3 linked regions of the Cricetulus griseus genome follow. The protein of the gene in region 1 interacts with the protein of each later gene in a pairwise test. Links are inferred from orthologs where the notes say so. Each region holds a gene or a part of one and is shown on either strand. Other genes may lie near its edges.

Evidence for each region.
Region 2: the proteins of Stx12 (region 1) and Dtx2 interact in binary tests that used the Homo sapiens proteins (3 or more experiments, as listed by UniProt). The two-hybrid records come from large-scale screens. The link is inferred for Cricetulus griseus from reciprocal best matches to the Homo sapiens genes STX12 and DTX2.
Region 3: the proteins of Stx12 (region 1) and Snap29 interact in binary tests that used the Homo sapiens proteins (3 or more experiments, as listed by UniProt). The link is inferred for Cricetulus griseus from reciprocal best matches to the Homo sapiens genes STX12 and SNAP29.

What each region holds. Positions count from the first base shown.
Region 1 is NC_048595.1:20,401,510-20,405,159, forward strand, and holds part of Stx12 (syntaxin-12), read left to right. Parts: intron 1-3,041; coding exon 3,042-3,141; intron 3,142-3,650. UniProt on the Homo sapiens protein: SNARE promoting fusion of transport vesicles with target membranes. Together with SNARE STX6, promotes movement of vesicles from endosomes to the cell membrane, and may therefore function in the endocytic recycling pathway.
Region 2 is NC_048597.1:115,008,933-115,012,582, forward strand, and holds part of Dtx2 (probable E3 ubiquitin-protein ligase DTX2), read left to right. Parts: intron 1-306; exon of another isoform or gene 307-423; intron 424-1,651; 5' UTR 1,652-1,726; coding exon 1,727-1,994; intron 1,995-3,650. UniProt on the Homo sapiens protein: Regulator of Notch signaling, a signaling pathway involved in cell-cell communications that regulates a broad spectrum of cell-fate determinations.
Region 3 is NC_048597.1:71,888,137-71,891,786, forward strand, and holds part of Snap29 (synaptosomal-associated protein 29), read right to left. Parts: intron 2,079-3,650; coding exon 1,980-2,078; intron 968-1,979; coding exon 810-967; 3' UTR 1-809. UniProt on the Homo sapiens protein: SNAREs, soluble N-ethylmaleimide-sensitive factor-attachment protein receptors, are essential proteins for fusion of cellular membranes.

The sequences.
Region 1 (3,650 bases):
CCAGTGGGAGAACTGATTTTTTGTTTTTGTTTTTGTTTTTTTTAAAGATCTTATTTATTACGTATACAACATTCTGCTTCCATGTATATCTGCACACCAGAAGAGGACACCAGATCTCATAATGGATGGTTGTGAGCCATCATGTGGTTGCTGGGAATTGAACTCAGGACCTCTGGAAGAGCAGTCAGTGCTCTTAACCTCTGAACCATCTCTCCAGCACAGTCACATTTTTCTTGACTTTATTTTTGCTTGTAAAGTTCTATTCTTGATCACTGGAGAGATGGTTCAGTGGTGAAGACATGGGTTCAGTTCCCAGCACTGAGATGGTGATTCACAACTGTCTATAGCTTCATTTTCATGGTATCCAACTCTCATTTCTGGCCTCTGTGGGCATTGCTCACATGTAGTGCACAGGCATGCATGCAGGCAAATCACCCATATACGTAAAATAATAAAGTAAAAATTTTATTCTCTGGGGCCAGCAGGATGGTTCAGCAAGTAAAGAAAAGTGCTTGCCATCAAGCCAGGGATCTGAGTTTGATTTTTGTAACTTATATAGTAGAAGGAAAAATCTAACTCTGGAAAGTTATTTCTAATGTCAGCATATTTCACATGCATCATGGCACCCCTGTGCCCACAAGCATACACACACACAAATGCACACACAGATAATAAACAAAAGTAATTTTTTAAAGTTTGATATGTGTGTGTGTGTATATATGTACATATGTTTATTTATTTTTTTCCCAAGACAAGGTCTCAGGCTGTCCTCAAACTCACAGAGATCTGCCTGCCTCTCCCTAGTGCTGGGATTAAAGGTGTGTGCCACCATCAGGTTCTCTATCTTTAAAGTCAACTGAGCTACATTACTCGTTTCCACTCTTAGACGCTGTGAAGTGAGAGAGTGACTGCTGTCACAGGGAGCAAATTCAGGGAGAGATGACCTGTCTGCATATGCTAGTGTTTCTGGGATGGTCTGGCTTCCTCTGCTGTCTCTCATGTTTTCTAATCCTAGCTGTCTACTTAAAGTGAAAAAAACGATGTGGTATCCCAGCCATTAAGGCTGCTGCAGTAATAGACCATAGACTAGATAGTTCATTAGCAAGCAAAATTTATTTCTTATAGTTCTCAAGGCTGAGGGGTGGTTGATCAAGGCTCTGGCATATACAGTGTCTAATGAGGGCCCTCTTTTTCATAGATAACATTTGGTTTTTGTTTTCCTTTTGGAATGGTCTTACTATCCTGCAGATCCATCTGCCTCAGTTACCTTAGTGCTGGGATTAAATGAGTATGTCCTTATGCTAGGCAGCTGATGCTTTCTTTTGGGGGGAGGGGAGACTGGTTTTGAGACAGGGTTTCTCTGTGGCTTTGGAGCCTGGCCTGGAACTCTGTAGACCAGGCTGGCCTTGAACTCACAGAGATCCTCCTGCCTCTGCCTCCTGAGTGCTGGGATTAAAGTGAGCGCCACCAAGGCCCAGCTAGTTGATGCTTTCTTATTGTATCCTCTCTTGGTGGAAGAGGTAAGTAGTTAGTTCTCTGGTGCCTCGTAAGGGGAATTAATGCTTTCACAAAAGGCCCACACATGCTAATCACTTTCTACTACCTCCTAATAACATCACTTGGGGGCTAGTATTTCAACATGAATTCAGACCATAGCCTATGACTTCTCTGTCACCCCTTAAAATCTTTGTAGAAATGGCCAGAGATTAGAGGAAACCATGATGGGAAGAACTTTTTATTTATTTATTATTTCTAAAGTATCACTTTTTTTTTTTCTTAGGGTTTCTCTGTAATTTTGGAGCCTGTCCTGCAACTTGCTCTGTAGACCAGGCTGGCCTCGAACTCACAAAGATCTGCCTGCCTCTGTTTCCCAATTGCTGGTTATCAAAGACGTGCACCACCACCGCCTGGCTCCATAGCATGACTTATATTTTATGTTCTTCCCTCTTGAATTTGCTTCTCTCTCCTTCCTTCCTTCTATCCTAGTATGTTGCAAACTGCTGGATTCAAATGCTGCTCCTATACCAGCCTCAGAGGAGCTGGGACTAGTGGTGAAGGCCACTGTACCCAGCATCGAGCTTCTTTATGTGTATTTTTTTATTGTGATTTTTTTTTTTTTTTTTTTTTGGTGTTAGATATTGAGCCCAGTATCTGGCACAAGAGGTAAGTGTTCTAAACAGCAGAGGGAAAAGCTATCAGGCATAAAATCCACTTTATTTATTTATTTATTTTGGTTTTTTGAGACAGGGTTTCTCTGTGTAGCTTTGGAGCCTATCCTGGCACTCGCTCTGGAAACCAGGCTGGCCTCGAACTCACAGAGATCTGCCTGCCTCTGCCTCCCGAGTGCTGGGATTAAAAGCGTGCACCACCAATGCCCGGCTCACTTTTTTTTTTTTTAAAGATTTATTTATTATGTATACAATCTTCTGCCTGCATGTCTGCCTGTTGGCCAGAAGAGGGCACCATATCTCGTAACAGATGGTTGTGAACCACTATGTGGTTTCTGGGAATTGAACTCAGGACCTCTGGAAGAGCAGTCAGTGCTTTAAATCTCTGAGCCATCTCTCCAGCCCCAGAAAGAACCCACTTTTGGACAAGAGATTAGGAATAGATCTTTGGAGTTTTTTTTCTAGGTATATAGGAAGCTGTTTCATGTAACCACCCTAGTCAGTGGACTATGGTAGGAACTGACCATGCAGAGCTCCTGGGGAGTGGTGAGACGTTTAAGTGAGTTCAGTGTATTAAAGCCATTAGGACTGGATGTAGGTAGTAATTACTCCTGTGTTTCTATCAGAATGCCGACATGCTTTTCTTCCCAAACAGCTGAAATTCCTGGCCTGTGCTTCCTTCAGCAGGTGTCATTGAGCATCTTTCTGCTCAGTGGAACTGCTTCAGTAATGAGGGTTTGTGAGCACAGGCATTGAAGCGCCTGTTTGAATGGCCCTCCCTTCCTTCCTTGCGCTGGGAGTCCCCGAGCGTGAAGTAATAGTGTGAGAGCTCTCGAGAAGCCATGGCATCCTGACACTTGTCTTCTCTCTTAGGCAACAGTTACAGCACTCCACAAATCAGCTCGCCAAGGAGACAAATGAGTTGCTAAAGGAATTAGGGTCTTTGCCCCTACCCTTGTCTGCATCAGAGCAGGTAGGTATCTTCTGTTTTGTTTATTAATAGAAAAGGACTTTATTCTGATAGAGTAGTGGGATGTGGAACAAAAGCTCTAGGAGGGCTCTGGTCTTGATAGATTTCTTTGAACTATAATTTCCTTACCACGTGCTTTAGTTTCAGTTCTGTTGTGATAAACTACTACAACAAAAAGCAACCTAAAGGAAAAGGTTTGGTTTTTTGTTTGTTTTGTTTTGTTGGTTTTTTTTTAGTTCACAATTCCAGGTTACAGTCTATTGTGGGAAAATCAAGGTAGCAGAACTTGAAGGCACTGGTCACATCTCATCCGCAGTCGAAGGAGAGAGAAATGAGTGCTTGCTTGTTCTTTTCCACATGTGTGCCCAGCTCTGCTTCTCCACCCTCCCACAGTTCACGATCTCCTGCCTAGGAAGTGATGCTGCCTACGGTGGGTTGGGTCCTCCTACACTAATCAGTTAAGGCAGTCTCCCGTAGATGTGCTAATAGGACAACCCAATGTAAACAGTTTC
Region 2 (3,650 bases), on another chromosome or scaffold:
GAGTTAGGGCACAGAAGTGTGCCCTGGCAAAGCTCCCATGGCACAGCTGTGGGTACTTAATGACATCATTGCCTAATGTCTCCAGCTGTGTTCTAAGCTAGGTGCTGGGTGCTGGCCCTACACCTATGAATAGGGCTGGTCTGTGGTCATCTGGTGGGGTAGGAAGACTCGGGCGGGGCAGGGCAGGACCGTGCCTGTATGTCTTCCTGCTCAGAAGAGTTCTGGTTGGTGTCGGGAGGGTGTGCGGGGTCATGAGCTCATGTGACACTGGGGGATTCTAAGCTGGAAGTCTACCATAGAGCCCCGCCCCCTGAGTCACGAGTTGAGCATGAAGGATGTAAATTCTCAGGAGAAGATGGAGCAGAAAGAGGAGCAGAATGTCCTTGGGGTAAAGAAGCCAGCTAGCTGCTACACAAGGCACAGGTGCAGGAGGGAGGTGCTGGGAGATAGCCAAGGACACTTTAGTTTCATATCTAGGGCTTCTTGTGGCCACTGATAGTCTTTTTTTTTTCTTTTCTCTCTCTCTTTTTTTTTTTTTTTTTTTTTTTTTTTTTTGAGACAGGGTTTCCCTGTGGCTTTGGAGGCTGTCCTGGAACTAGCTCTTGTAGACCAGGCTGGTCTCGAACTCACAGAGATCCACCTGTCTCTGTCTCCCGAGTGCTGGGATTAAAGGCATGTGCCACCACCCTGCGGCCACTGATCGTCTTAGCTGTTAGTTTGGTTTTGGTTTTGGTTTTGTGTGGTATGGGCCTTTATGTGTGTTTGTATGTGTGTACAAACAGAGGTCAGAGGAGGACTTGGGATCTCTCTTTCTCTTTCTTTCTCTGTTTTTTGGAGACAGGGTTTCTCTGTGTAGCTTTGTAGACCAGGCTGGCCTCGAACTCACCGAGACTCGCCTGCCTCTGCCTCCCAAGTGCTGGGATTTAAAGGCGTGCACCACCACCGCCCGGCTGACTTGGGATGTCTTTTATCATCTTTCACCTTATGTTATGAGACAGGAACTCTCACTGATCCTGAAACTTGCTGTTTTGGCCAGACTGGTTCATAATTGGGAATACAGATACAGGTAGCATGCCCAGCTTTTCTGTGGGTTTAAACTTTGGTCCTTAGTTTGTATAGCAAACTGTTCCTATCCATTGGCCTATGTGTAAGCTACTGCCCTAGGATGTCATGGAGTCCTTGTTCCCAAGCCTCAGAACATCTGAGAGGATAGGGTAGCAGCTGTTCCTCTAGCCCACAAACAAGGCCTGACTTGCGAACTGGAGGGCTCTCACACAATGCACAGGTCATTGTGGCCTTTCCACAAAGGTCTGGGGTGACTCACAGACAAGACACACTGACTCCCAGAGGCATGGCTCAGCTGTAGAGTCTGCAGAGAATTCCCCATTAATGGCTGAGCTGTGTGGCATGTGCAGGAAGGATGTGAATGGGTAGTGATCAACACCCTCTGTCGCTGTGCTCCCTGCTCTGGAGTGTGTGCTCAAGTGGGGTAAACAGCAGGGATGTCTTTTAATTATCTGTCTGCTAGGGCAGAGATGGAGATCCACAGTTAGTTCATGACACTCTGAGGGTGGTATAGAAAAGTTGGTTTTCTTTAGCTGCCATACAAGGCCCCTGATGTGTGTGAGTAACTGCTGTGCCTTGTTCCCAGGTCCCCTGGAGGTTCTGGGCAATGAACCTGAGCCTGCAACCCAGAGTGGTGTGAAGTCTTCAGGGAAAGCAGAAGATGGCCATGGCCCCAAGCTCGTCTTTGCCACAGGTGTACCCTAGCCCTGTGGTGGTGGCTGTGTGGGAATGGCAGGATGGGCTTGGCACTTGGCATCCCTACAGTGCCACTGTCTGCTCCTTCATTGAGCAGCAGTTTGTCCAGCAGAAGGGCCAGCGTTTCGGACTGGGGAGCCTGGCCCACAGCATCCCCTTAGGCCAGGCTGACCCTTCACTGGCCCCTTACATCATCGACCTCCCCAGCTGGACTCAGTTCCGCCAGGATACTGGTAAGACCCTTCTGCCTCTCACACAGTGCCTGGCTTTGGGCTGGGTATCATGCTAGGTTTTAGTTATGGTTGTGACTGACATACCTTCCATCCCTACTTTTGAGATGAAGGAATCTAATAGGAGGGTGCTGTAATTGATAACTTCCAGGCTGGGGATGTAGCTCAGTTGGTAGAGTGCTTATGTAGCATGCAAGAAGCTTTGGGTTCTAGCCCCAGCGATGCATAGACCTGACGTGGAGTATATGCCTGTAATTGTAGCATTCTGGAGGTTGAGGCTGAAAGGTCAGGAGTTCAAGGTCATCTTTGACTGTATAGTGAGTTCTAGGTCAGACTAGGCTACACAAAATCTTGTCTGAAGAGAAACCAGCCATTACCTGGAAGAAATGGACCTTGTAGTAGTGGCAACTGTGCTGGGAGCTCATGCAAAGGCTCTCCTGGCTCCTTCTTTCTTCAGCAGGCCGGCTAACATGGTTTTAGGATACCATGGTAGTTGAGAGAGTCTGGTGGTGCTTACCTGTAATTCCAGTACTTGGGAGGCTGCAGGTGGAGGGTTTAAAGAGTTTGGGACTAAATTTTTTTTTTTTTTTTTTTTATTAGGATTTTCGAGGCAGGGATTCTCTGTAGCTTTGGAGGCTGTCCTAGAATTAGCTCTTGTAGTCCAGGCTGGTCTCGAACTCACAGAGACCCGCCTGCCTCTGCCTCCCGAGCACTGGGATTAAAGGTGTGCACCACCACCACCTGGCTTAAGCTGTTTTAAGGGGAGGAAAAAAAATAAAAGCATTATCAAGTGTGACTCATGTTTGATAAGTAAACTGCTAGCCTCTTTTGCCATAGAGGGTGAGCCCTTGCTCTGTGACTTGATCCCTTGGTGCCCTTTGCCTTGTGAGCTTCTATAACCCTACAATGAAGTATAGACAGAATAGACTCTGCCAGTCCCTGAGTCAAATAGCAGTGTGACCGTATACCTACAGTGATGAGGTATTACGATAAATTTTTCCGCCAAAAGCTGCCTGAGCCCCACCGCCACGTGTGAGCTTTACGCCAGCCCCCTGCCCAAGTTAGGGCCCAAATGAATACACAGAAACTTGAGTTAGATACAATGCTGCTTGGCCAATGATTAGGACTTCTCATCTGCTAGCTCAGTCTTAATTATCATAAATCTATATATTTTATAAGACTTATCGGGCACCTTATTGGTGTCCCTCCTTGTCGGTGGATCACATTGTGCCGCTGGAGCAGGAACGAAGGGGAAAAGAGGGCCTTCCTGTTTCTCCTTCACTTAAATATGAGTCCCCTTGCTATGTCACTTCCTGCCTGGATCAGCACTTCTCTACTACATTTCCCAGAATCCTCTTTGACTCCTAGTCCCGTCTAACTTGCTATCTCATTGGCCAAACGGTATTTTATTTAACAATAAGATAAACATACACAGTACATTCCCCATCAATGAGGTTGAGTTATTCAGGGGAGAAAATTGAGGCTGGGGATGTCGCTTGGTGATAGGACATATACCTTGAATGTGTGAGGTTCCTGGGGTTCATCTTTGGCAACACAGACATGCACACACACGGAGACATACATAAGCAGACATATACCACAGACATACCACATATACACCACAGACACATGCACATAATAAGTGCATATGCAGACATG
Region 3 (3,650 bases), on another chromosome or scaffold:
GGTACTATTCCAGAGGCAGAGAGGGCTCAGTGGAGAGGTTTTTGTTTGGGAGATACTCAGGGCTCACTAACTCCACAGGGGTTCCTCATCAACCTACTTGGTGACCTAGAGCCAGTCAAAAAAACCTGTCCCCACCAGAGATGGCAAGTATGAGATGACAGTAGGTGGGGAAGAAGAGTTCATCCAATTTCCATACACTGCAGGTGTCATGTCCAACAGTTCTAGTCTGAGTCCTTCTACTGAAATACAGGACAAGAACTGAGGACAGGAGGGGAGAGTAATGAAGGCAACACATTCCTTTTCTGGGTCTAACAGGGGTCCTTTTCAGGGGGAGAAAGCTACAATGTGCTCAGTGTATGTGCAGGCATATCGATAATGATTGACATACAAAGATGTGGAAGGACCCTTCCTTCTGCCAAAACCCAGGGTCACTTTACATGAATTCACAGTAAGGCCTTGGAGTGAGAAACAGCGAGTAAATAGAAGGCAATAGTTAGGAGACTGACTGACATCCTGCCCACATCTTTGCATATACTTGTGAAAGAAAGAAATGCACGGTTTTCTTCTTCCTGCACAGTATCAAAAGCTCAAGGCATTCACAATTAGTCTGCCCAGAACTTTAGAGGTGTTGATCTTACCCAAATGTGTACACACACATTTTTTTCCCCATTGAAACTAAAATTTCTTAAGACCCACATTTGAACACATATGTTAAATTACATACTGTACAATCAATGACATTTCTTAGGAGTTTAAAAGAGGCTTTGAATCTTTTCATCACAATGGAGTAGAATTCCTTTTCAGTTTCTTTAGAGCTGCCGAACTTTTTTTTCTGTGCTTTTTATATTGACATCTAACTTGTCCACTTTGGTTGTTAGCCGGTCAAGAATGTCATCCTGCTCCTCAATTTCCGTCTGCATTCCTAAGGCTATGTCCTTGAGTCGGCCCAATCCCATGGACAGCTCATCTGTGAGAAGGAAGTGATAGGCAGTTACAGTGTCTGCAGGGGCTTCTTGCCCCTCTGGATGCTCAGTGGTATCTGGACTGCAGAGTCCTGTCTAAAACCGAGTGCCACAGCCTGTAGCATATGACTCAAAAAACATGGAAGTGAAGAGAAATCTACTTACTACATAGTAATATGTGGTTAGTGTAGGTAGAAGCCACTGTCTACCTCCTCCCTCCAGATAACCAGGGTTAACATGTTTGTTTGTTTGTTTGTTTTAGCATAGTCTTGATAGATAGCTCTGGCTGGCCTGAAAGTTACAATGCAATCCAGGCTGGCCTTGAAGTCAGAGTGATCTCCCTGCTTCTGCTGCCTGAGAAGACTTAGGGTCTCTACCACGTACAGCATTGCTCCCCTAAGTGCTGGAGAATCAAACTTAGGGCCTTGCATGTGCTAGGGAAACACTCCAACACTGAGTCACACCTCCAGCCTCTTTATATTTGTCATGTTGAGACAGGATCTCACAAACTTTCAGGCTGGCCCTGGATTTGCAACCCTATCTTAATCACAGGTACCTGGGATGACAGGTGTTTGCCTGGCATACTATGCTTCTTGAGATCTTTGAAACATGTGACCTTACGTTTCCTGTAAAGTAAAAGTTTAGTGGTCACTCACCCAGGCTTCAAGAAAGCTTCTTGGGTTTGAGACAGTAAGGACAGGAAAAAAGGCTGAGATAGACCAGCCTGGTGGGCTGTGGGACATGCCTCTGTGGATATGAGCACTTGCTGGGCAAGCATGAGATCTGAGTTCAGCTCCTTCGCACTCACATCAGCCGTGTGGCTTTATCCTGGATGCTCTTAAGCCCCAGGGATGCTTAGGTCTGGTCAGGAGTCAAGAAAGTAGTGAGGATGGCTTGGCTACAGTGACAGCAGGAAATGGGGAGAAGTGGACAGATTCCTGACAGTGAGGCAGTACTGGGCGCCCTGGCTGTGCTCAGCATCAACTGTCTGGAGGCTGCTGTAGCTCCCAAACTTACCTAGGTTGTTGTCGATCTTTTGATGATAGGCTCGAAGACTTGAGTTCTTTGGGTAAACCTCAGCAGTCACAGCAGAAGCAGGCCCTTTGGGGGTTGGGTCTAGTTCAGAAAGAAACACCAGAGGGACAGTTCACTGACGGTCACTGCTCCATGAAATTGGCCTATTCTTTTCTGAAGTCCTAGGAAACTGTCCCCAGTAATCACTCATACCAGGAAGGAACTAAAGGGGTGGGAGGAAGGAGGTAGCTGCCTCTGAGGCCATGCAGAGGGACAGGAGCGGGAATGGGACAGGGGTTATAGGCTGGAGAAGTCAAGTCTGAGCTCTGGCTGGTCCTTCAACATTAGCAGATTAAGGACTCTCAATTTACAAGTCAACAGGTGAGATACGGAAAGAGACATGACAATACAACAGGGAACTGTCAATGCAAAGCTGCAGGCTCACAGGCAAGCAAGCTCTGGAAGACAGGTTGGTTTTTTGTTTGTTTGTTTTAATGCTTAAGATTGGAACCAGGGCTTTGTGCATGCTAGACAAGTTCTCTCTACTGTAAATCCCGTGAACTCCAAGCTTACCTCAAACTCTTGTACTCAAGCTATTCCTGCAATATTTGTGACTACAGGTGCATACTACTACACCAGGCAGAGCTGGCAGAGACAGCTTTAAAAATCAAAGTTGTTGTGTGCCCGTCTATAATCTAGCAGATAGAGCAAGAATATCAGAATTTTAAGGTCATCATCTACTAATGAATTTGAAGCCAGACCGGGCTAAATGAGACTCAGTCTCAAAAGAAACAAAACCACATCAAACCATATAAAACATGAAAAAAGCAAAGATGAAAATCATTGCCTGGTGTGGTGGTTTGCAGCTGAAATCTCAGCACTTGGCAGGCTAAGGCAGCAGGATCATGAATTCAAAGCCAGCCTGGGCTACACAGTAAACAATCTCAAAGAGACTAAAGGAAATGAAGTTATGCTACAAAACTGAGCTTACTATTTTTGTTTTTGCTGGGCCGTGGTGGAGCACACCTTTAATCCCAGCACGCCAAAGGCAGAGGCAGGAGGATCTCTGAGCTTGGTCTACATAGTTCCAGGACAGCCAGGACTACACAGAGAAATCCTGTCTCAAAAAAAAAAAAAAAACCAAAACAAACAAACAAAAAACAACAACAACAACAAAAAAAAACAAAAACAAAAACAAAGAAAGAAATTCTATTTCTAAACATATACAGAAATAACCTCTGTCCTCTTTTGAGAGTCTTGTGTAGCTCAGGCTGGCCTTGAATTTGGTATGTAAGTATGTAGTTGAGGTGGCCCTGAACTACTGATCCTTCTGCCTTCATCCCGAGTGCTGGAATTACAGTTTTGTGCTACCACACCTAGCCTCTCCTTTTCTTTTCTTATCTTTTGAGACAGGGTTTTCCACTGTGTTCCAGTATGGATTTGAACTCATGGTAATGTTTTGCCTCAGTCTCCCAAGTGACTAAAACGCCTAGTATGTTTGTTTGCTTGTTTTTGGTTTTCTGATAGCCTGGCTATATAATCTAGGCTGGCCTCAAACTCAAACTTACAATTTCCCTGCCTTAGCTTCCCAAGTACTGGGACTACCTGGACCCAATATGATACCCCAGAATAAATTCTCTTATCTCAGGAAGCCAGCCGATTAGCCATTCTAAT